3 linked regions of the Drosophila melanogaster genome follow. The gene in region 1 interacts genetically with each later gene. Each region holds a gene or a part of one and is shown in the gene's direction. Other genes may lie near its edges.

Region 1 (7,609 bases):
TAATTGATACAAACTCAATTAAATGTTCTCGTATTACAAAAGGATTCTGGAAACTTACGATTCTGCTGGACATGCTCCTCCAGCATTTCAATTCGTAGAATGGAGCAGATCTCCGCCAGCGTTTCCAAGTGATTAATATGTATAATAAAGGGTCGCATGGTGTCATAGAGAATGGTGCACAGACCCTCCAGATAAACCCTGTGGGAAAAATGAGATCAATCCTATTTTCCAACTAGATGTACGAGTATTACGTCAGGTGTGGCGCTCCTGTGCTGAAGAACTGGTAGAACAAACGCTGTTCGTCCTGGCAAACATGCACCAAAAAGGCGCAGGCGCTTCGGGTGAGAGAGCAGTGATCCCCTTTGTGGGCCACCTTAACGTTTTGTATGGACAGATTCACTGCTGGCGACATAACGCTGGCTCTTTGCGCCAAGTAGTGCTGTTGAAGATCCGCCATTAGTTGGGCGTAGTCGAGGCTGTGTTCCGACCGGGACTCAATCAACTGGGCGACCCGCTTCACTTTTGCCGCGGCCGTTTGATATTTGCCGTAGTACAGAGCGAATGCGGCATCTGGTGCCTTGAGAGCAGCGGAGGCATCCGGCATATTGTTCTTGGGATGGAGCGTGGCCTCGGTTGCCTGGTTTATCACACTCGTCACATAGTTACGCACCAGACCCGAGGCTTTGGCCAGGCACTGCCTGTACTTCACATTGTAGGCGGCCGCATCCTTGAATTTGGGCTGTGACAATGAAGGATATTAGTATATACATGACCGAAGTGTAACAGACAAGCTCACATTCTCCTCGATGTAGTTTAGGCATTCGTCGATCTTGTTGAGGCACTCCCGGAACGCTTCGCTAGCCACCGAAAGCGTGGGGCTCTGAAGTCGTTGGTTGAGCAACTCCACCTGGCTGAAGTAGTGCAGACGGCGTTGAATCTCGTGACTCAGCTCCTGCAGTCGCTCCTGCTCCTCGATCAACTGCTCGCTGGCCGTGTTCAGAGCGCTGGTCTTTTGCGACACAAAGTCGTACTCGTCGCAGAGGGCACCCAGGCGCTCCATGGCCCCAGCGATCTGGTCCAGCATGTGGGAGCACTCCGCTTTGCGCTGCTCCAGCTGCTGCAGGTATTTGTGGTAGTCGGCATCGCCACGTTGCTCGATCTCGGCGCTGACGTCCGCGAACCAAAGCAGAAACTCATTGGTGTTCTGGAGTCCCTCCGCAGGTAGTCTGATGTCATCGCCGCTTTGCGAAGTTGCAGCTGCCGATGAATCGGTAGGACCCACCTGGGTGGGCGTAGTCGGTGCCGGTGCCTACAAAGAGTCGGGTTGCAATTATACGATTGCCATTCGAGGAGGAGTCGACTCACCGATGGTCCGCTGTCGCGCCACAGATTGGTCAGGACGTCCAGGTGCTCCTCTTGCTGGATACTCAGAGCCGCCAGCGGGTCCGTTTTGGACTCCCATTGCATCAGGCGATTGCGAATCTTGCGCAAATTCTCATTCTCGCTCTGAATTCGTTCGACGTCATCCATTTTTCTGCGGCGGATTTGGAAACAATCAATCAGCTGTTCAGAGATGACCGGTCTGCGCCTTCCAGTGCTGCTCAGCAAGGAGACTTAGCTAGAACTAAAACTCTTGATTGATATAAGTTGCCTTTATTTGAATGGTATCATATGTTAAGTAATCTTTAATTTTAGATTTAATACATTTTAAGCTCTTTTTATGCTCGTCCGTTTCTTACATAAGTTTTATATTAAATATCTGTCTGTTTAGCTTGGCGATTACTTAGCCAAGATTTCACCACTGACGGGACGTTTTCCATCACTGGCAGCATCAATAAAGTTCTGTTCTCTATTGTTTTTATTGCATTTTGATCAGTTTTTCCGCATCATATAGCATACGATGGCGCCGCAGCCAGTGGTTACGGGGCTATCTCCGAAGGAGGGTCCTCCTGGCACCCGCGTTATCATTCGCGGCGAGTTCCTGGGCACCCGAGTGCAAGATCTAATTGGTAGGCGTAGCCTGTCCCAAATAGCTTCTGTTTTCTGATGACTTTCCCTTCCAAAAAAAAAAAATGTAAGGTCTAAAAATCTGCGGTTCAGATTGTCTGCTGTCGGCGGAGTGGAAATCACCCAATAAAATCATCGCACGCACTGGTCCGGCGAAGGGAAAAGGCGATATCATAGTGACCACTTTAAGCGGCGGAGTGGGCACGTCCACGGTTCAGTTTCGTGCATACCACGAGACCATTGGCCCGCTCAAGGAGTCCGCCGTGTGGATCGAGGAGTCGCCCTCGCAGAATTTTGCCTGGGGTCGGCGCACCCTAGCCCAATCCGGACTGACGCAGGAGGATCCACTTGGGCTGTCCATCGAGGGTAACGAGCAGAAGATCCCCGAGGACCTCCGCGATCTCTTTCCCGAAGCCTGCGGGGATCTGTCGCAGGAGCACTTCTCCCCGGCCTGGTTCCTGCTTGAAAATCACCTGGCCACCTCCTTCGAGGATCTCAAGGCGGGCCTGTCCTACTTGAAGCGGAAAGTGGAGAGCCAGAAGGAAGGTCAGTTGTCCTTCCTCAAGTCCAATGCAGGCTCGGTGATTGACCAGCTCGATACGCTGATGAACATCCGAGACAAGCTGCAGGAGGATGTCAAGCTACACGGCAATGAGACCCTAAATATCTTGGAAACATCCATAGAGAGTGAGTGGGGTTTATAGATTAAGATATTTAATTCTAAAATTGTTCGACTTATAGACTCCATTAGCGAATCGCAAAAGATATTCACGGATGTGCTGGTGCGCAAAGAGAAGGCGGATTCCACGCGGTCCGTTCTGTTCGCCCTGTCGCGGCACAAGTTCCTCTTCTGTCTGCCCAATTCGGTGGACAGACGTGCCAAGGCGGGTGAATATGACATTGTGGTTAACGACTACTCGCGCGCCAAGAACCTCTTTGGCAAGACGGAGATTCCCATTTTCCGCAAGGTGCTCGAGGAGGTCGACCACAGGATTCTGTCAATAAGGAAACAACTGCACGAGAAGGTGGTCAAGATGCCACAGAGCGTGGAGCAACAGAAGAAGCTCATCAAGGCGCTGATCAGTCTGGAACTGCAGCAGAGCGGAACTCCCATTGGCGATAAACTGCGCAACATCGATCCCGCCTGGGATGCCATCGAGGCCAGAGCCAAATATCTGGAGTGGACATTTCGCCAGACATTTGATCAGCACACCAGCAAGGATTCGGGTGCCCAGGAAAAGGCAAAGAACAGGGATTCCAGCCAGGCGCCCAATCGGGTTAACTTCTGCGAAGAACTGTGCGACATTGCCGCCTCCCAGCTGCCGGACTTGTGGCGTCTGGGCCAGCTATACTTCACCGGCGAGCTACGCGGACCTCATGATCCCAAGCCAGGGGATTTCAAGCGAATGGTTTTGAACGCCATCGAGAAGTTCTGTGTCTACTTGAGGTTGGCCATTCTCATTGCCACGGATCAGCGCGCCCTGCGTCAGTCCAGCGGCTTGGCTTGGCCCATCGGCTCCGCATCGGCAACACATCAGTTTCTACCCTGGATTCCGCAGTGCCTGCGTTTCACGAGGATAGCCTATGCCACGCTCATCAGCCTGGATCTGCCCTCGGAAGCGCTGGACATCATACAGAAACTGATCGATGAGGTGCGACTTTTCTGCTTCTCAATTATCTTCAAACGGGCCACGGATCGGTGCAAAAAGCTGGGCAGCCAGGAGACCTGGGAACTGGGCGTGGAGGAATATCCAGGTGCCACATTGTTACCCGCCGCCTTGGAAACATTGCTCATCGAAACGCTGGACGAGGTGCAATCTGTGTGCATGCAAAGGGAGACCCGGGAGGGCAATCTCCTCGAGCCGCAGTCGGATGGACAGAGAGAGGTGACACAGCGACTACAAGAATTCCTATCCGCGTTTAGCGCGGTGATCGAGGAGCTGGCCTTCCACTCCCACGACGAGGAGACGCCCACCCACAATGTGTCGCAGCTACTTGGATTCCCCAATGCCCAGCAGCCAGATTCGGTGGCTGGAAGCGGCGGAGCAGCGGCTGTGACCTGGGAGCAGCGCATGCTCTGTTGCCTGGCCAACTATGCGTACTGCAACAAGATCTTCTTCCCGCGCCTTGGTGACATCTTCGTTCGCTACGGTTACCCGCTGCCCACGCTGGCAATCGAAACTGCTCGCTACACGGTTAACCAGCTCTTTACCAATCTTCTGGAGGAGTACGTCGAGCATAAGGGCGATCCGCTGGTCGGCACCATCGAGCCCTCCATGTATCTGGGTCGTTTCCAGTGGGATCACGAGATGGAGATCGGCCAGCTGCGTCCTTACGCTCACGAGTGCTGCGATAATTTGGTTGGTGTCTACTCCGAGATCTACAGCATTTCACCGGCACTGCTGCGACCCATCCTGGAGTCCATTGTGCAAACCATATCCGAAGAGCTGGCCCGTCTGATGAGCTGTGTCCAGCGCTTTAGCTTCACGGGAGCGATTCAGGCCCACGTGGATATCCGTCTATTGAGGGACTCCCTGGAAGGTTACGTCAATGAGACTGCCAAGTGAGTGATCTAAATGAAATACCTATGAATTTCAATAATTCTTCTAATCTGCAAAAGGAACTACTTCATGGAAGCGCTGGAGGCCATCAATCCGCCCCTGAGTGGCGAGCAGAAGCGTAAGGCGGACGAGATTCTGGAGCGGGTCAAGCGGAACATGCGTCTGCAGCTGCTCTGCTTCAGTGTCAAGGACCCCTAGGCACATTCCACTGCAGGGCGCAGCCCATGTAGATAGCGTATACTTTAAGTAGCTTGTGATTACCCATGTTCTAGGGATAAATCTTTATTCGATTGCATAACTCTCTTACTTACTACCACGACTCACAAGCCCAACAGCTTTGGGTCAAAGTTGAAGTTGTTCTGAGCCATGGTCTTGATGACCTGCTCCACATCGATGGTGTTGAACTTCTCCTGCACACGCTGCTTGATGGGGTTCTCGATGGCGTCCATGATCTGGTAGCGCAGCAGGTTGGGAATGACGTTCACCGCAAACTCCATGACGTAGTCCAGCGTTCCCGCTCCGTCACATCGCACCTGTATGTTGCCCATGTCAAACTGCAGATCGGTGATCTGCGCCCGCTTGCGTGTGTCCAGGGATTGGCTCAGGCCAACGGTGGCGCGTATGTGCTGAACCGTAAATTGTACGTGACCGACGCGTGTCATCATGCCCACACCCACCTCCCACTGGCCGGCTCCCGTCACCTGCTGGGTGCCTATTTGCAGAACGACCGACACCGTTTTGTTGGCCATGCCAGCGGTTATGTTGCCCACGCGGTAGAAGCTAGAGATTCCATTGATCCAGGTGTGTGCTAACTGGACACTGAACACGCCCATGGTGCGATTGACATCAGGCAGGTGGTACGGATCGAAGCCCTTCTGCCGAACCATCTTGCGTGCCATGGCAATGGCGCTGTCCAGCGGCGTTATGGAATTGGGCAGTCGGCGTTCGCCCAAGGTTTTCTGGATCATTACGTTGATCTCGCTGCGCAGCTTTTTGTCCGCCTCCTGGAGCATAAATGGCTTCATGGCGTCGAAGACCAAGTTGGGCGCACCGTTCACCACGCTCTGAAAGACACTGCCCACCAGGCCGAGGTTCTGGAAGTCCATTGTCATGTCCGAGAATGTGATGTCGATCTTGATGCGGTCCGTGGCCAGCTGACCGTCTCGTTCGACGGCCAAGAAGGCGGTTGCCTCGGCATAGACATTCTTCAGGACTACTGTAAAGGGTCCATTGGCTTTCGAAAAGAATGAACTGAGGGTGTACTGGCCCTTGACCAGCATCTGGTCCAGCTGGAGGCCACCGTTGAACTGCAGGACAGAGGAGTGGAAACTTCAAGCCAATTCGAATTCAACTTGAAAACTTACTCTCATTTCCTTCAGGTCTAGGTTCATTTTATCAATGCGGAACTTGGACAAGCCATACGCCTTGACCTGCTTCATGTCCAGATTGGCCATGCCCATGCTCTTCTTCACATTGGGCACCTCCAACGGATCGGGCACGGGCACGCCGGGCAGACCCTGCGGATCCTCCTGCTGAAAGTGCACGAGCATGGCCTCCACCTGGGCGGCTATGCTGGCCTGACTCTCTTTGATCTTAAGTGCGTCATCCGACTCGCTGGCTTCCTGCTCCACAGCTGCTCAAAGGTCATTAATGAGTGGCTTAGTTCCGGTAGAGCTCAGACTGGAATTCGTCTTACCATCGCCAGGCTCCTGGGAGTGAACAATGTGGCAGCCACTTGCCATCAGGCCCACGAGCACGACCACTATCAACGGCTTCATCTTTCGGGGATTAGCTGGAGCTTCTGCTTATCAGTTGGAAAATGGAAGAAAACGCGCCAGCCTCCGTTCTCTACTCGGAACAAACACGCACTGTCGACTGGCGCGTTAATCAAAAGATAATGATGAGCCGCAGGCGGCGATCCGCTTATCTAAGGGCGACTCTGCTCGCGGAGCTGCTGATTAAACTCGGAATTGAGATTGAGTGACTTAAGTGAGCGGAAGCGGCCAGCACATTGTAGGCACTCATGGAACTCACTCCACTCCCAGGAACGATGTTCTAGAAATCATGAACTAGCAGCTTGCATGAGGCAAAGAGTGTTACGGTTCGAAAACGGTTTTGAAACCCAAAGAAAATCGCGCATTTTTCTGTAGTAGCAATGCTCATTTTTATTTGAATATTTTAATAGTTATATGTTCGCATATATAATATGGGTATATATGGCTTACTTGAATTGTTGTTCTTAATCCTAGGTTCACGTGCTCAAAAAAATTCATGCTCAAAAAAAGTCTTAGCCTATTCAAAAAAATGTCTTAGCCTATTAAAAAAAAAGGTTTTTTTTAGCTCACAGCATCCACATTTTGGGCAAAGCAATCTATAATTCGCTGTTCGTTGAACGAAAATAATCTTTAGTTTTGACTAATGCTTTACTCTTAAATAGATTATCTTTGCTGCAGCTGCAGAATTGCTTTAAATAGTTATGTATACGACTTTTGGCTTAATACGTATTAAAAAAAAATTGAGTTTTGGAAACGTTTGCTGGATGATTACAAAAATCAGATTGTAGAATGCTCCTAAAAGATATTTGGGAGTTGATTTGAGTGGAAGTTGTTTGAGTGGGGGAATATATAGCATAACGAAACCACAAGTTAAAAACAAGAGAGAATGCTAAAGTCGAATTTCCCGACTATCAGATACCCGTTACTCAGCTAGTGGAAATACGAACGCGAAATTTCATCATTTTTCTGGGATATCCAAGAGATATTGGGAAATAAAATGAGAAAAAATTTAAAATTGTGGGCGTGGAAGTTTTGGGCGGTAAGTGGGCGTGGCAACATGGGTAAACAACCAAGCGCTGCATCTATGTCTCTAGAATTTATATGCTTAATCTCAACCTTCTAGCTTTTATAGTTCCTGAGATCGAGACATTCATACGGACAGGGCCAGATCGACTCGACTATTGATCCTGATCAAGAATATATATACTTTACATGGTCGGAAACACATCTAGTATACCCTTTTACTCTACGAATAACGGGTATGAT
Region 2 (6,140 bases), on another chromosome or scaffold:
TAAGCAATCGAAATGAGCATTTCCCAGTCGAATCAATTGAACTGTTATCGTATCGAATATATCCCGTATATGACGCATAAAATTCCTATCAAAACCTTTGCAAGTAACGCACTTCCACGAAATCGAAATAATCGCGCCGAGTTAAAGTTAAAACAAAGAAAAGAAATTCCAACCAATCAGTCGGTCAGTCAGTCAGTCAGTCAATCAGTCGGTCAGTCAATCAGTCATTTAGTCAGGCGAACGGCTCAAGTGCTGAAAAGTTTATTGCACTGCGAGCGTCGGACTTTTGCTATGGCAAATATTGTTTAATACCATTTTTAAAAATAAAATTTACTGATTAAATGTGCAGCGACGACAACGACAAAGTCGACGAACGTTGACACAATGGCGGTCCTACCCCAAGACGAAATTATTTGAGCACTCTTGTTTTAATGGGACAATAAACGGACTGTAGCTATAGAGCTTCTATAGCAATAAGGCGGGAACAGAGTTCAGAGCCGAGACTATATTCCGGCGCCTATGACCATCGGAATCGGAATATTGAACGTCAGCATCACCTCTATCATTAGCACGAGCAGGAGTGTGGTTTGAACGGTTTCCCTTATCAGCATCATTTGATTTTCCCGGTGATCGCCCTTGTTCCATACCAGATACTCATTATCCAACGCGTCCTGCAGCGAACAGTCCATGTATCCGTATGGATACATCATTTGCACGGTGATACGCCATATTAGAATAAAGAATATACTGGGACTGGGAATGAGGAAGTTTCTTACAGGCCAACGACTCTGATCCTGCATACTTCTTAACTTACGCCATGCTCAAGGGCAATCCGCTCATCCAGCCTGTCTTTGGTAATTTAAAAGTACTAAAATAGTGGGGAAACACTTATTCCAATGCCTACTTATCTACATAAGTTGGTAATATATGCAATATAATACAAATGTTAAATTACTCATCATACAACGTATTTTGTACATATATACAAAGTAGATAAAAGTCAAGTAAAATGTGTGGCAATACATTTTACATGAAGGCAACCAAGTTGACATGTAAATTGGTTTGTGTCCAAGCTGTGTTCAATTCAGTAGATTTAATAGTGAAGCCATTTTAAAAGGTACATATGTATGTGTCTTCAATCCAACGTTACCTTCAAATGGAGCAGCGTTGACCATGGCCCACAGAGAACATCATCCACAGTAGGGTTCATCGTGATACCTTCCAGGGCCTGAAAAGCATCCACATAGGACAGGTCTTGGAGCTGCCTGCCAAGTTGACCGTGCTTGCACCAACCACTGACCCATAGCCGCCCGCATCGGCGGATCAGCAGAGTGTGACGAGATCCAGCAAACACCCTCAGCGGTGCGCAATCATCGTTGCTCTCCCCGCTTTGGGAGCAGGCACATTCGGGCAGATCTTGCAACTGGGGCAGCGGAAATACAGTGGGCTCTTTGAGGACGCCACCGGGTTTCATCACACGCAATCCCAGCTGACCGCTGCAGTTGAGGCCCCAGGTGTAGAGGTCTCCAAAGGCGGATATGGCCGCACTGTGCCAACCACCGGCAGCAATTTGAGTTATCTGCAAGGCACTTGAATGTGTGACAGACAAGATAAGTGGACAAGTCAAATATATATATACCTTGATCCCCGCCAGCGCCTCCAGCAATTGAGGCGTCTCCTCCACTCTCAGTTCCGCCAGACCCAACTGTCCGCGTCTGTTAATTATGACATAGAAGTGAAAAAAATTGTTAGGAATTAGAATAAGAAACTCGCTAATATCTAAATATCTTAAAACCAGAATATGTAAATATTTATAGGCTGCATTTCTGCACAGCCAACGCATTCATTATGACCTTTACTTACAGTCCATTTCCCCAGGTGAACACGTCGCCATTGGCATTGAGGAGCACGGCATGTTCATGGCCGCATTGGAGCTGCTTCACCCGAAATTGGCGCTCGGAAAACTGATGCAGGCAGCTGGGAATGCTGTAGACACAGTTTTCCGAACTTATCGCTACGTTTATGTGCGATCCACATGCAATATGCTCTATGATCGGCGACGAAGGCGCCTTGGCAGCCCCAAAGATAGAGCGCTTTGTACCCGAATTGGATCTGGGAGCAGCTTCTAGTCTAACAGCCACCAGTTCCGCTTGCAGTTTTGGTTGCACCCTGTAAAGCTGACCGCTTTGGAGTAGCACCAGGCAGTGGGAATCGGCAGCGGCAAGGGCCCTTATGTTCCCCGTTGCTTCCAGGGTCACGCACTCATTTGGGCCATCATCCAAGAGCCCACGCAGGCACAACTTCCGGCCAAAAGCGAGGGCCGCATACCGCCAGCCGATCGAAATCGTGCACTGGTTCTGAGTCGAGACTGGCGCATTTAATTCTGTAATAAAGGCAGAACTGAATTAGTACACATACATACATACGGTGGAAGCCCCCTAAAAAGATTTTGTCTAAGTTATTAGTTTATCAATTTCATTGCTATGTATGTATTTGGCCAATCAAAAAATGCAGTTGGCACCAAGTACCGATGTGTAATTTACCCTATAACTGTCAATTAAAATGCAGTCTATATCCAATGCATGAATATGAATATGCAAAGAATTTTATGGATTAATGTCCTACGTATATATTCACCTGAAAATCACTATACTCTATTTTAAACATGAAATCTTAAAAATTCATCTGGCTTAAATCGGATTCAGTTTTATAAGATAGAATTAGAATTGTAAAAATGGTATAAGCTGCATGCATCCCAGCGAGTTCTATAGCGAGTGCCTACTGTAGCAACTAAGTGATCGGCGGCTTTTGTTGCCGGTTACAAACCGCTGAAGCCGGCTGCGCAGTCGACGTCGCCGCTTACACATTCATGCTGGCCAAATGCGTTGAAGCCCGTAAATAGCAGCGGCATCTTCTTCCCGTTCCCGTTCCAATTCGAATACCGCTCGACCCGCACCCCCACCACGTCCCCCGTCTAACAATCCTTTGCAGCGGTTGCTCGGCGACCGTTGGCGCTGTTGTTGTTGCTGTCGGAATTTGTTAGAGCGTTGAGCGAATTTTGTTTTCAGTAGTTGTGCAGCGACGAGCCAGTGATGTTGTGTTTGGTGGTTGAAGTTGATCCAATTCTCAAGTTATCCGACTTTTCCTGAGTTGACCACCAGAAGACACCGTCTTGGGCGGCCAGAGCAGATTGCCGAATCGGGGGGATACAGATACGGATATAGTGGTCGGAGATCGCACCGCCTCCTGGCTGTTATTCTCGCGTTAATTATACGATGGTAGGTTGTCTCCCGGTTCCGTAACAGCTAATTAAGTGCCTTGTTGTTCCGTAATTGCACGATTTGTTTTCATTTTGCGATCGTCGCCATGGAAACCCGCCTCAAAAACTATACAACACTTTTTTGTTAGAGCAGAACTTTTTTCAGCACTACTTCGAAAGTTTTAGGCGCGTAATTATCGGTATTCGAAAAAAAAAACCAAATTGGTGGTTCGGAAAACAAAGAAACATAATAAGCTTTTTGTAGCACACAATGGAAAAAAGAGTTCTTAATTTTTAAGTGAACATGGCAAATTTTTTTACCAATAAACATTTTTATTTCATTCAACCTTGTTGTCGTTTCTTTTGGCGAGCCCTTATCTCAATTCCAACAATATGTTTGTAAAGTTCACCTGTTGATAAGCTTTTTGCATTCTATCACTAAGAGAACGTTTTAATTGCAAGTTTTTTTTTTACAACTTTACATCGTCTTTATTGATAACAACATTGATAATAACAAAACATGTGTGTTTACAAGCATATGTTGCATTTATAAAAACACATATATTTATTAACAATTTTACAAGTTTATAAACTACCAAATGTAGATTGTTATTCAAAATTTCAAAGATAGACCAGAGGATACTACCGAGTCTAGACTAATACTGGTAATCAGGTGCTAGAATAACACACCTTCAAAAAACTAAGTAGAAAAAACAACAACTTAATAGCTTACAAATTTTAGGGTCTGCTATCGCTGTTGCGTAAACTGAGACCCAATCCGGAAAAGGAGGCTCGCATCCTGCTCCTAGGATTGGATAATGCTGGCAAGACCACGATACTGAAGCAGCTGGCATCGGAGGACATAACCACGGTGCGTATAAAGGCGGCGAACTTCTTCCGTTTTCCCCATAAAATACGGAGTGAAATCCCGCAGGTAACGCCCACGGCAGGATTTAACATCAAGTCCGTGGCAGCCGATGGTTTCAAACTGAATGTATGGGATATTGGTGGTCAATGGAAGATACGTCCATATTGGAAGAACTATTTTGCGAATACTGATGTGCTGGTAGGATTGTTATAGATCTAAACTCAATTCTGTTAGCTAATAGTTTCGATTATTTCAGATCTATGTAATTGACTGTACAGATCGGACTCGCCTGCCCGAGGCGGGTAGTGAACTATTCGAAATGCTCATGGACAATCGGTTGAAGCAAGTTCCCGTGCTGATTTTCGCTAACAAACAGGATATGCCGGATGCCATGAGTGCCGCCGAGGTGGCCGAGAAGATGAGCTTGGTGCAACTGCAGGGACGAACCTGGGAGATCAAGGCCTGTACCGCTGTGGATGGCACTGGACTAAAGGAGGGAATGGACTGGGTCTGCAAGAATATGAAGAAGTAATCTAAATTATAGTAATCGTCGCCTGTTAAGTTGTCCCTAAGAACTAAATATACGTACCTACATTTCAACTCACCAAAAGTATCACAATCTCTAATTGTTGGATGAATCTTCCTTTTTTCACGTGTATCTTTAAGTATAAACTGAATATATAGTTGAGAAGGCTATGCTAGTTAAATCATTCATTTTTACCTGACATCTAAACTGAAATCAAATTTCGATCCCCATGTGTTTTTACGGACCTGTTTCGTTCATAAAAAAGATCCTGCCCGCAGGCTCTCAGAAATCATGTCTGCTCATTTTAGGATTAGACAATGCGGGAAAATCCACGTTGACAGACCGCCTGGCGGAAATTTTCAATGGAGAAGTAAGGCCATATATGTGATGGTCCTATCTCCATTTGATAATGTTAGCATAAACTATTTGCAGTCCAAGGAATCTAACAATCAAGTTAGTGAATGGAGCTTCACCATAAATAATTTCAGAGTCCAGTTGTGGGATATTAACGGAGAACTGAAGAATCGCCAGATCTGGCCAAAGTATTATAAGAAAGTGAATGTTTTGGTGAGAGGAGAACTTATATAGAACTTATATAGACTCGACTACAATCCCTGAACCGTAGATTTTTGTACTGGATAGCACGGATGCACTGCGGCTAAGCGAGGCGCGATGTGTTTTATGCGATGTTTTGATGCACCAGGAACTGGATAATGCTCCGCTGCTGATCGTGTCCAACAAGAAGGACGCCTCGGGATCCCTGTCCATGTCCACGGTTATCGATTTGATGGGCCTATATCGCCTAACTGGTCGAGATTGGACTTTTGAGGAATGTTCCATGCGGACAGGGTCTGGTGTTCAGGTATATGTTGTGTTCTATATTCGAAATCTGATAATTTAACTTATACTATCTGGGTAGGAGATCGTAAATTGGATTAACGAAAAGATCAACAATAACAGGAAGTGATTTATCACATTTTTATATTTTCAAAAATTTGGCAACCTATTAACTAATATATTAAATATATATTTAATGTAATTTAGCAACAATAGTTTGTTACACTTGTATTATAGAAATTATTTGCCTCAAATAATGATTCATTTAGTTTGCTGATCGGCAAACACTCTTTTAATTAATACATTAATACAGCCATTTGCTAATCAATGATTTTTGACATTGACCTCTGTCAATAATTGAAAAACTCGTGGCTGAGTAGCAACATTGTGAGGACAAAGCCCTTTTGCATTATCAGTTATTAGTTGTTGTTGCTTTTGGGGCTATAAAAGGGTTAGTTATAGAATTGACTGGCACAGTTTAACAGCGATCGTTGAAATGAACTCAACTCTGGTGATTCTACTTCTTTCGGCTCTGGCTTTGGTGCAGGCCAGGAATATTCGTTGGTCTGAGGAGGACAACTCGTCCCAAGGTCCAAGTCTAAGCCACCCGCATCCGCACTCTGTCAACTGGCCCTGTGATGTGGGTCACT
Region 3 (6,829 bases), on another chromosome or scaffold:
GTTCCTCATCGACGGCTTCCCACGCAATCAGGATAATCTGGACGGTTGGAACCGCCAGATGTCCGAGAAGGTGGACTTCCAGTTTGTCCTCTTCTTCGACTGCGGCGAGGATGTGTGCGTCAAACGGTGTCTGGGCCGCGGCCAGAGCGGCTCTGGCCGGACGGACGACAACCTGGACAGCCTGAAGAAGCGCATCTCGACATACAACAACGACTCGCTGCCCATCATCAAGTTCTTCGAGGGCGCCGGCCAGGTGAAACGGATCGATGCCAGTCCGGATGCGGAAGAGGTGTTCGGGGAGGTGGAAAAGATATTTGTGGCCAGCGGCTTCTAGATTTCCTGTTCATATTCCGGTTATGTGTGTAGTGCTATCCTTACCTTTCATTTGTACCCTCTAAAAAAATACATATATACGCTTGTTAATAGTAATGCATAAGGTACTTTTTCTTCACCCCGATAAGATACAAGATACACATGAAGTTTAGTATACCCAATCAAGGAAAGCGGAGGTACACACACACTTTTTAATATCGAGTAAAAAATGGAGCTAGGCAAAAGTTATTCTGGAATTATATGTTATCTAAAGCAAATGGATTGAGAACTATTTTAAATGTAGGAACGTTAAAGAGCAATAAACAATAAATTAAATCCCCTGTTCATATTATGACATTTAAAACAAGTTTTCTTATTTATACAAGTGCTATGTGATTTTCATTTTTCAAGTGTTTTACATATTTCTATAGTACCCAATAGTACAAATTTAGGAAAGTACTTCTTTTTATTCAGATAAACACAATTTTGCATTTATAGTTAAAGCTGAATATATGTATATACATATATATATAATTTCATGATTTGGAAATTCCTTTTTCTTATTTTATTGAAGACAGGCATGAAACGTACATATCTTTTAAAATACCGAATATTGTATAGCTCTAAAGTAACAAGTATTGCGAATTTGTTTGTAGCTAGGCTGTGCGATTGCAGCACTACCCAGTTCTTTCCATTATAGCTTGTAAATGCTAATTACTCATCGATTTTTCAAACACGCAGGGAACGAAAATCACAAGCATTCTCTTTAATATAACATTCGCTTCTGGGAGATACAAACGGGTGGTGGCTCTTACATAAAGTGGACAGGCAGTGGTTCTTAGTAGCGGCTCAATCCTTGCGCAGCTTATCCAGGCGCGCCTGAAGATCCGCATCGGCATCGGACATGGGCGATGAGGCACCACTGCCACCGGGAGCTCCCGGACCACCAGCGCCGCCACCACTAGCTCCACCTCCGCCGGCGGCTCCACCGCCGCCAACGCCACCAGCGGCCACAGCCTGTGCTTTCTGAGCGCCAGCGCCGCCGGCTATGGAAAGGGAACCGGAGGCGGAAGGAAGGTCTCCCAGCTGTTCGCCCAATTGCAGACCCAGTTCGTCCAGCACCTGGGACACAACAGCATCCGTCTCCTCCTCGTCGCCCTCGTCCTCCATGGCGTCATCGATGGCATCGTTGATCATCTCCTCCTTCATGTCCATCATTTCCGACTGTTTCTCGAAGTCCTGCAGGATCTTCTGGATTTGCGGGAGATTCAGCTGGCGGTTCATGTTCTGCATGGCCTTCGTGACACCTGGAAGATAAGCATAATTGCTTGATAAGCGGGTGAATCAGCCAAATAGCCAATGTTTACCTTTCATGGCCTGTGCCATTGTGTTCTGCGACTTGAGCGTCTGAATTTTGAGGGACACCGCCTGGATGTTTGCCTTCATCAGCATGAACTTCTTGGCATACCGCCGCGTGCGCACCAGATCCTTGGCCATGATCTTCACGGCATCCATTTGACCCTCCTTGGCCATCTTCTTGATATCCGCGATAATCTTCTTCTCCTGCTGCTCCATTTTCATCCGCTCGCGGTCCAGATCTCGCATCGCTTTGTTGAGCGCCCGCTGATTCTTACGCAGCATCTCATCGGGGCTGATCTTCTTGCCGAATAGCCAGTCCATGTTTAAGGATATCTTAACTGCAAGATTTAATTACGAAGAATGACGGAGTTTCCTAAAGATTACTCATCAACCAAAACAATAAGCGAAGGGTGTGCGCGATTCTAAGGTGGCCAAGACGTGTTGGCGCTTACATGCGAATAGTGCTAGTGGGAAGAAGAAGCTTTGCCGGTGCACTCTGAAAGAACTGTTCACACTTCAACTTAGTGAATTAGCAACAGGTGGAAAATAATTTTAATTTATTACAATACAACACACACACATTGTAATGAATAGTATACATATAGACATATGTCTTCTTGATTTTTAACGTAGATCTTTGACGTAGTCGTTTATATTTAAAAGTTCAGTTCGAATAAAAAGTATTCAGGGCTTCAACGCCTAATCATACCTAAGATGAAAATCCGAAATGTAAATGCGAATAAATTTGTTGATCTCTAAAAGGTCTTTGACGTAGCCGTTCAGTTCGAATAAAACTTTTCATAGGTTTTAAATCTTAATTAATCTCCTATTACTTAAAACTAAATAAAAATGTTCTAGATTTATAGATTTATCTAATACCAGGGAAAACTGCAGTGAAAACATGGCATTTTCTATAGCATCAGCAACCTTACAATCGACACCTCATGATGACGCTCGTTCGTTGTGAATGGCTCTGCGTCAGCTGCAGTTTACATTCCAATCAGAATCATGAAGGAGTTCGACGATTTTAATTTTAGCGTTGAGAAATGTAAGTATTCCTATGTCTATTTAGCATTAATCAGTCTACTAATAAGTACAACGTTCCCAGATACCAAGGACCTGACACGAGAATGTGTGGGTGGCAGCGATTTGCAGCAGCGAAAAAAGGAAATCGAGGCCTACAACGAAACGACGGCAGCAACGCTCAAGCAAACATGCAAAAAGAACTATATGGAGTTTATACAGACGGCCAAGGAGATATCACGTAGTTTACGCCCCCCAATATCAATATACATTTATGTTAATATTTTCGCATCGCAGATCTCGAGTCGGAAATGTATCAACTGTCGCACATTCTGATTGAGCAGCGCAATATTCTGGCCACCATGACGGATGGCAAGACTTCCAGTCACCTGAAGGCAGAGAGTTTGGAGGCGGAGAGCACTACGGCGACGGAGGATCTGGAGAATAGCCATGCCACGCGGGCGGTCAAGGAAATGGTCCAGGGCTTCAATGGCAATCTGGAAGGCAAGACCTTCCTCAACGAGGGAGCTCTAATCGAGTTGGACAGTAATGATTATCGACCCATTCAAAGGGTCTTCTTTTTCCTCTTCAACGATGTACTGATTGTCTGCAAAGTGAAGCATGATAAGTAGGTTTTCCTATACTAAAGCATATAGCAAAAACTAATAGTAATATTTTTCAGGCGCTTGGATTTCCTCACCGAGTACGACCCCAAGAAAATAGCCGTGATTAACATTAAGGACTTGGATGGCGTTAAGAATGCCATTAATATCATTACTCCAGATGGTTCCAAGATCTATCAAAGCATCACGGCTGCTGGGAAGACGGAGTGGATAGAGAAGCTCGAAGAGGCCTTCCGCTTTGACCAGCAAAAGAAACCAAAAAAGGGCCAGGCGCCACAGCCTCCAACTCGGGCCAAACAGCAGTCAAAAGCTTCGACTCCGGAGAAGGAAACCACACCCCAGAGTCCCGGACAGCCCAAATCCCTGGAGGATGAGACGCCCGAGTGGCTAAGCACGGCCAGTGAAGAGATTCAGACCCTGGTGGCCCAACGGCATTTCGAGGATGCCCAGGAGCTGATAAAGCGAACCCAGGACTTCTTGCGAAACGAGAACCGAAAGAAGTTGCCACTAGCGGACGCCATTGAAACCAAGGTGAAGCAGCAGGAGCTGAAGCTGATCAATGTGCTGCTCAAGGAGTTGTCCAACAGTCACAATCGCAATCTGCAGATCGCTCTGAGAGCAGCCAAGCGGCCTCTGAAGATTCTCGTAGAGATGGGTCGCTATCGGCAGGCGAGTGCCACTCTGCTGAAGGTCTGCGCCGTCAGTTTGCGGGTGGCGCAACGGGAGGCGCGCAGGAATAATGCGGATATATCGGAACTCTTCTTTTGTGACCTGACGCAGGTGGCCTGTGATTTTCTCACCGCCTTTGAGAAGCAACCGGCGTGCGTTAGCGGTAAGCTTCATTCCTATTTCTGTCTACATTTAAGTATTACTACTATCTAATTCTTGCAGCGCTCGTGGTTTGGTGCAATGCGGAGCTGCAATATTTTGCCAGCCAACTGATAAAGCATTACCTGACCAAGGGAACCTCCCTGGAGTCAGTGGCCAAATGTGTGGAGCGAGTGCGCAAGCCCTCGACAAAGCTCACAGAGATCGGGCTGGACATTAGTTATCATTTGGAAGGTCTGTTGCGCACTACACTCGAGTCGCTCATAGAGGAATCCAAGGAGCGACTGCTGGACTCCGTGGGTCGCACCGAGGAGAGCTGGCAGCCGTACAATTTGCAGACCAAGTCGAACCTGAAGCGTCTGCTCCTGGAGCTCGATGTCTTGGGTATCGATGTGCGAGCCCAGGCGACGGGCGACACATGGATTAATCTCACCCAGTCGACAGTGGTTTTCATCAGACACTTCCTGCAGCTCACCGAGTACTGCGGCTGTCTGGCCAAGTGCGAAACCCTGCTGCAGAGCCTGGAACTGCTTCTTAAGGAGCTGTTCATTGCCCAGCATTCGTTGAAACCGCCCAGCGACATGGCCGTGGATGTAAGTTAGAAAGCAGCTTAAATAAAACCGCTCTCTTCAAGAATGCCATTTTCAGCCCAACTTTGTAATGAAGAACAAGATTTTTCTGGTGGACAACCTGCTGCCCATCGCCATCGACAAGTTTCGACAGATTTCTGGACGCCAGTGCGAGGGATTGCGCGAGTTGCACACGAAAATGTCCCGCCAGCAAGGTGCTCCAGTGCCGCGCCAGCGCAGCGTCTACACCACAGATGTGTTTTAGATGCACGCCGTGGGATTTACTTTCGATTACATATAATTTTTTATTTTTTCGTTTTGCTTCAATTATTTATAATATAATTATATACATATATAACCACAATAATAATAATATTTGTAAAATTAAAAATCGAAGCGTGTGCTGCACTCTATCTCTTGCTTATTACAATTTCGCCGCTCGCATTATATATATAATTGTAAATATATATAAATCGATTCGTTTTCTGTTTTTCATATATATACTCTAAACACTAAACAATTTAGCTGTGTTCTACTTTTCGGTTTCGGTTGTTGATGCGGCTCTCTCTGTGTTGGGTTTAGCTGCTCAAAATATAGGATTTTACACTTGGTTCTGAAGAGTTGAGTTTGATTCACACAATTAATTCCTCGATTTTCTCATTACACATTTTCTCAAATTACATACAAGCAAAGCGGACTGCTCTGAGCTTCTAACTACTGACCCCCAATGCGAGTGAGTGTTTCGAAAGTGGTTTCCGTGTTTAATTTATAATGTAAAACTCTTAACTAAAATGCTTACTAAGTATATTCATTTATAATTATATATATATATATATATATATACCTTTTATGCAAATGTGTTTTGTGTTTTTCGTATGTTGTGTTTGTGTGTGTGTGGTGTGTGTTTGGAGGGACGTTGGGAGGTAAGGAAACTGACAACTTAAAATTACATTTGTTGTTGCATTCGCTGTCTGACTTTTCAGCTAAATTACAAAAACCGCTCACATAAAACAAACTAAAAGCACTCGCATCGTATTTGTATTTAACTCCTTTTGTTCAGCTGGTAATCATAATCTCAACGCTCCTGCAATTGCAATGACTGACTAATTCCACTTATCCTCCTATTTGTTTTTATGTTAAGATGAACGTAGGTAGGTATCGCCGACTTTTTATGTTTCTGTTTCCGGTTTCATTTTGTTAATTTTACAACATACTCGTTTCTGTTGCTCGCATGCATTATCATTTTATTTCGCTCTGGTTCTCATTTTACTTGAATTCTTCTTTACTTGCAATTTGTGTGTTCAACTTGTTGGTTTGTTTTTATTTATTGGACTTAGCTTAGGCTTAGTAGCTACAAGTACGCTTAAAATTTTAGTTTTCCTTTTTCTTGTATATATATTATAGAATTTTCATTTTTGCTTCGCTTTTTGATGCGTTGCTACTGCCGCCTTTCTGCTTTTCTTTTTTTGTTTTACTGCCGATGCTGCTGCTGTTGTTTTTGTTGTTGTTATTTGCATGATTTCGAACATGTTGTAATAAAAACTATACGAGCTTATTACAAAATGAAAAAACTGCATGGTTTTGTGGATTTAATAAATAACTTCGTAGACAGTAGCCTTCTTATCGCCCGAACCCGTCACAATGTATTTGTCGTCAGTTGATATGTCGCAGCTAAGTACGGATGATGTTTCCTTCGACTGAAAAACGTCCAGTATTTTAATTGAGGATTTCCTTTAATATGATAAGGATGTGTGCTTACCTGGAATATGCTGGCACCGTAAGGTGTTCGCCATGCGTTAAGCAGGTTGTCTTTGCCGGTGGAAACGAACCATTTGCCGCAGGCGGCAAAGCGCAGCGACAGAACGCAGCTCTCGTGCAGATGCAGTTGATACTTGTCCGGTTTCGATGCGTGCAGCACCTCCACATGCGAGTTCTCCATACCCACAGCCAGCCAGTCGCCTAATGGATAATACAAATTATGTTATTTCTAGATGATTATATCTCGTAAGGAAGTCGTCATCATACCTGTGGGACAGTAGCCGAGCGAGAATATTTGAGAGCTGAAGTCGTGCTGTTGCAGCTGGCGACCCTCGCGCAGATCCCAGGAGCGCACCG

What was found.
Region 2: of Sec5 (region 1) and dnd, changing one enhances a phenotype caused by changing the other (phenotypic enhancement), as found in Drosophila melanogaster (one study listed by BioGRID).
Region 3: of Sec5 (region 1) and Exo84, changing one enhances a phenotype caused by changing the other (phenotypic enhancement), as found in Drosophila melanogaster (one study listed by BioGRID).

Annotation. Positions count from the first base shown.
Region 1 is NT_033779.5:3,455,506-3,463,114, forward strand, and holds Sec5 (secretory 5), read left to right. Parts: upstream 1-1,796; 5' UTR 1,797-1,900; coding exon 1,901-2,009; intron 2,010-2,079; coding exon 2,080-2,694; intron 2,695-2,748; coding exon 2,749-4,570; intron 4,571-4,627; coding exon 4,628-4,766; 3' UTR 4,767-4,862; downstream 4,863-7,609. Other genes in the region: Cog3 (component of oligomeric golgi complex 3), read right to left, coding at 59-198, 252-739, 797-1,309, 1,366-1,530; CG3246 (uncharacterized protein), read right to left, coding at 4,889-5,875, 5,933-6,201, 6,265-6,346. UniProt on the Drosophila melanogaster protein: Component of the exocyst complex involved in the docking of exocytic vesicles with fusion sites on the plasma membrane.
Region 2 is NT_033777.3:21,884,278-21,890,417, reverse strand, and holds dnd (dead end), read left to right. Parts: upstream 1-3,062; 5' UTR 3,063-3,275; coding exon 3,276-3,278; exon of another isoform or gene 3,279-3,389; intron 3,390-4,001; coding exon 4,002-4,130; intron 4,131-4,193; coding exon 4,194-4,325; intron 4,326-4,383; coding exon 4,384-4,659; 3' UTR 4,660-4,742; downstream 4,743-6,140. Other genes in the region: CG43844 (uncharacterized protein), read right to left, coding at 504-800; CG6678 (uncharacterized protein), read right to left, coding at 1,151-1,579, 1,640-1,715, 1,864-2,383, 2,827-2,911; CG17819 (uncharacterized protein), read left to right, coding at 4,883-5,023, 5,086-5,220, 5,279-5,515, 5,573-5,620; fit (female-specific independent of transformer), read left to right, coding at 5,987-6,140.
Region 3 is NT_033777.3:26,048,080-26,054,908, reverse strand, and holds Exo84 (exocyst 84), read left to right. Parts: upstream 1-2,651; 5' UTR 2,652-2,679; coding exon 2,680-2,719; intron 2,720-2,779; coding exon 2,780-2,938; intron 2,939-2,991; coding exon 2,992-3,322; intron 3,323-3,376; coding exon 3,377-4,149; intron 4,150-4,208; coding exon 4,209-4,738; intron 4,739-4,793; coding exon 4,794-4,979; 3' UTR 4,980-5,178; downstream 5,179-6,829. Other genes in the region: Cmpk (Cytidine/uridine monophosphate kinase 1), read left to right, coding at 1-334; Vps2 (vacuolar protein sorting 2), read right to left, coding at 1,162-1,619, 1,680-1,992; gro (groucho), read right to left, coding at 6,304-6,411, 6,474-6,673, 6,740-6,829.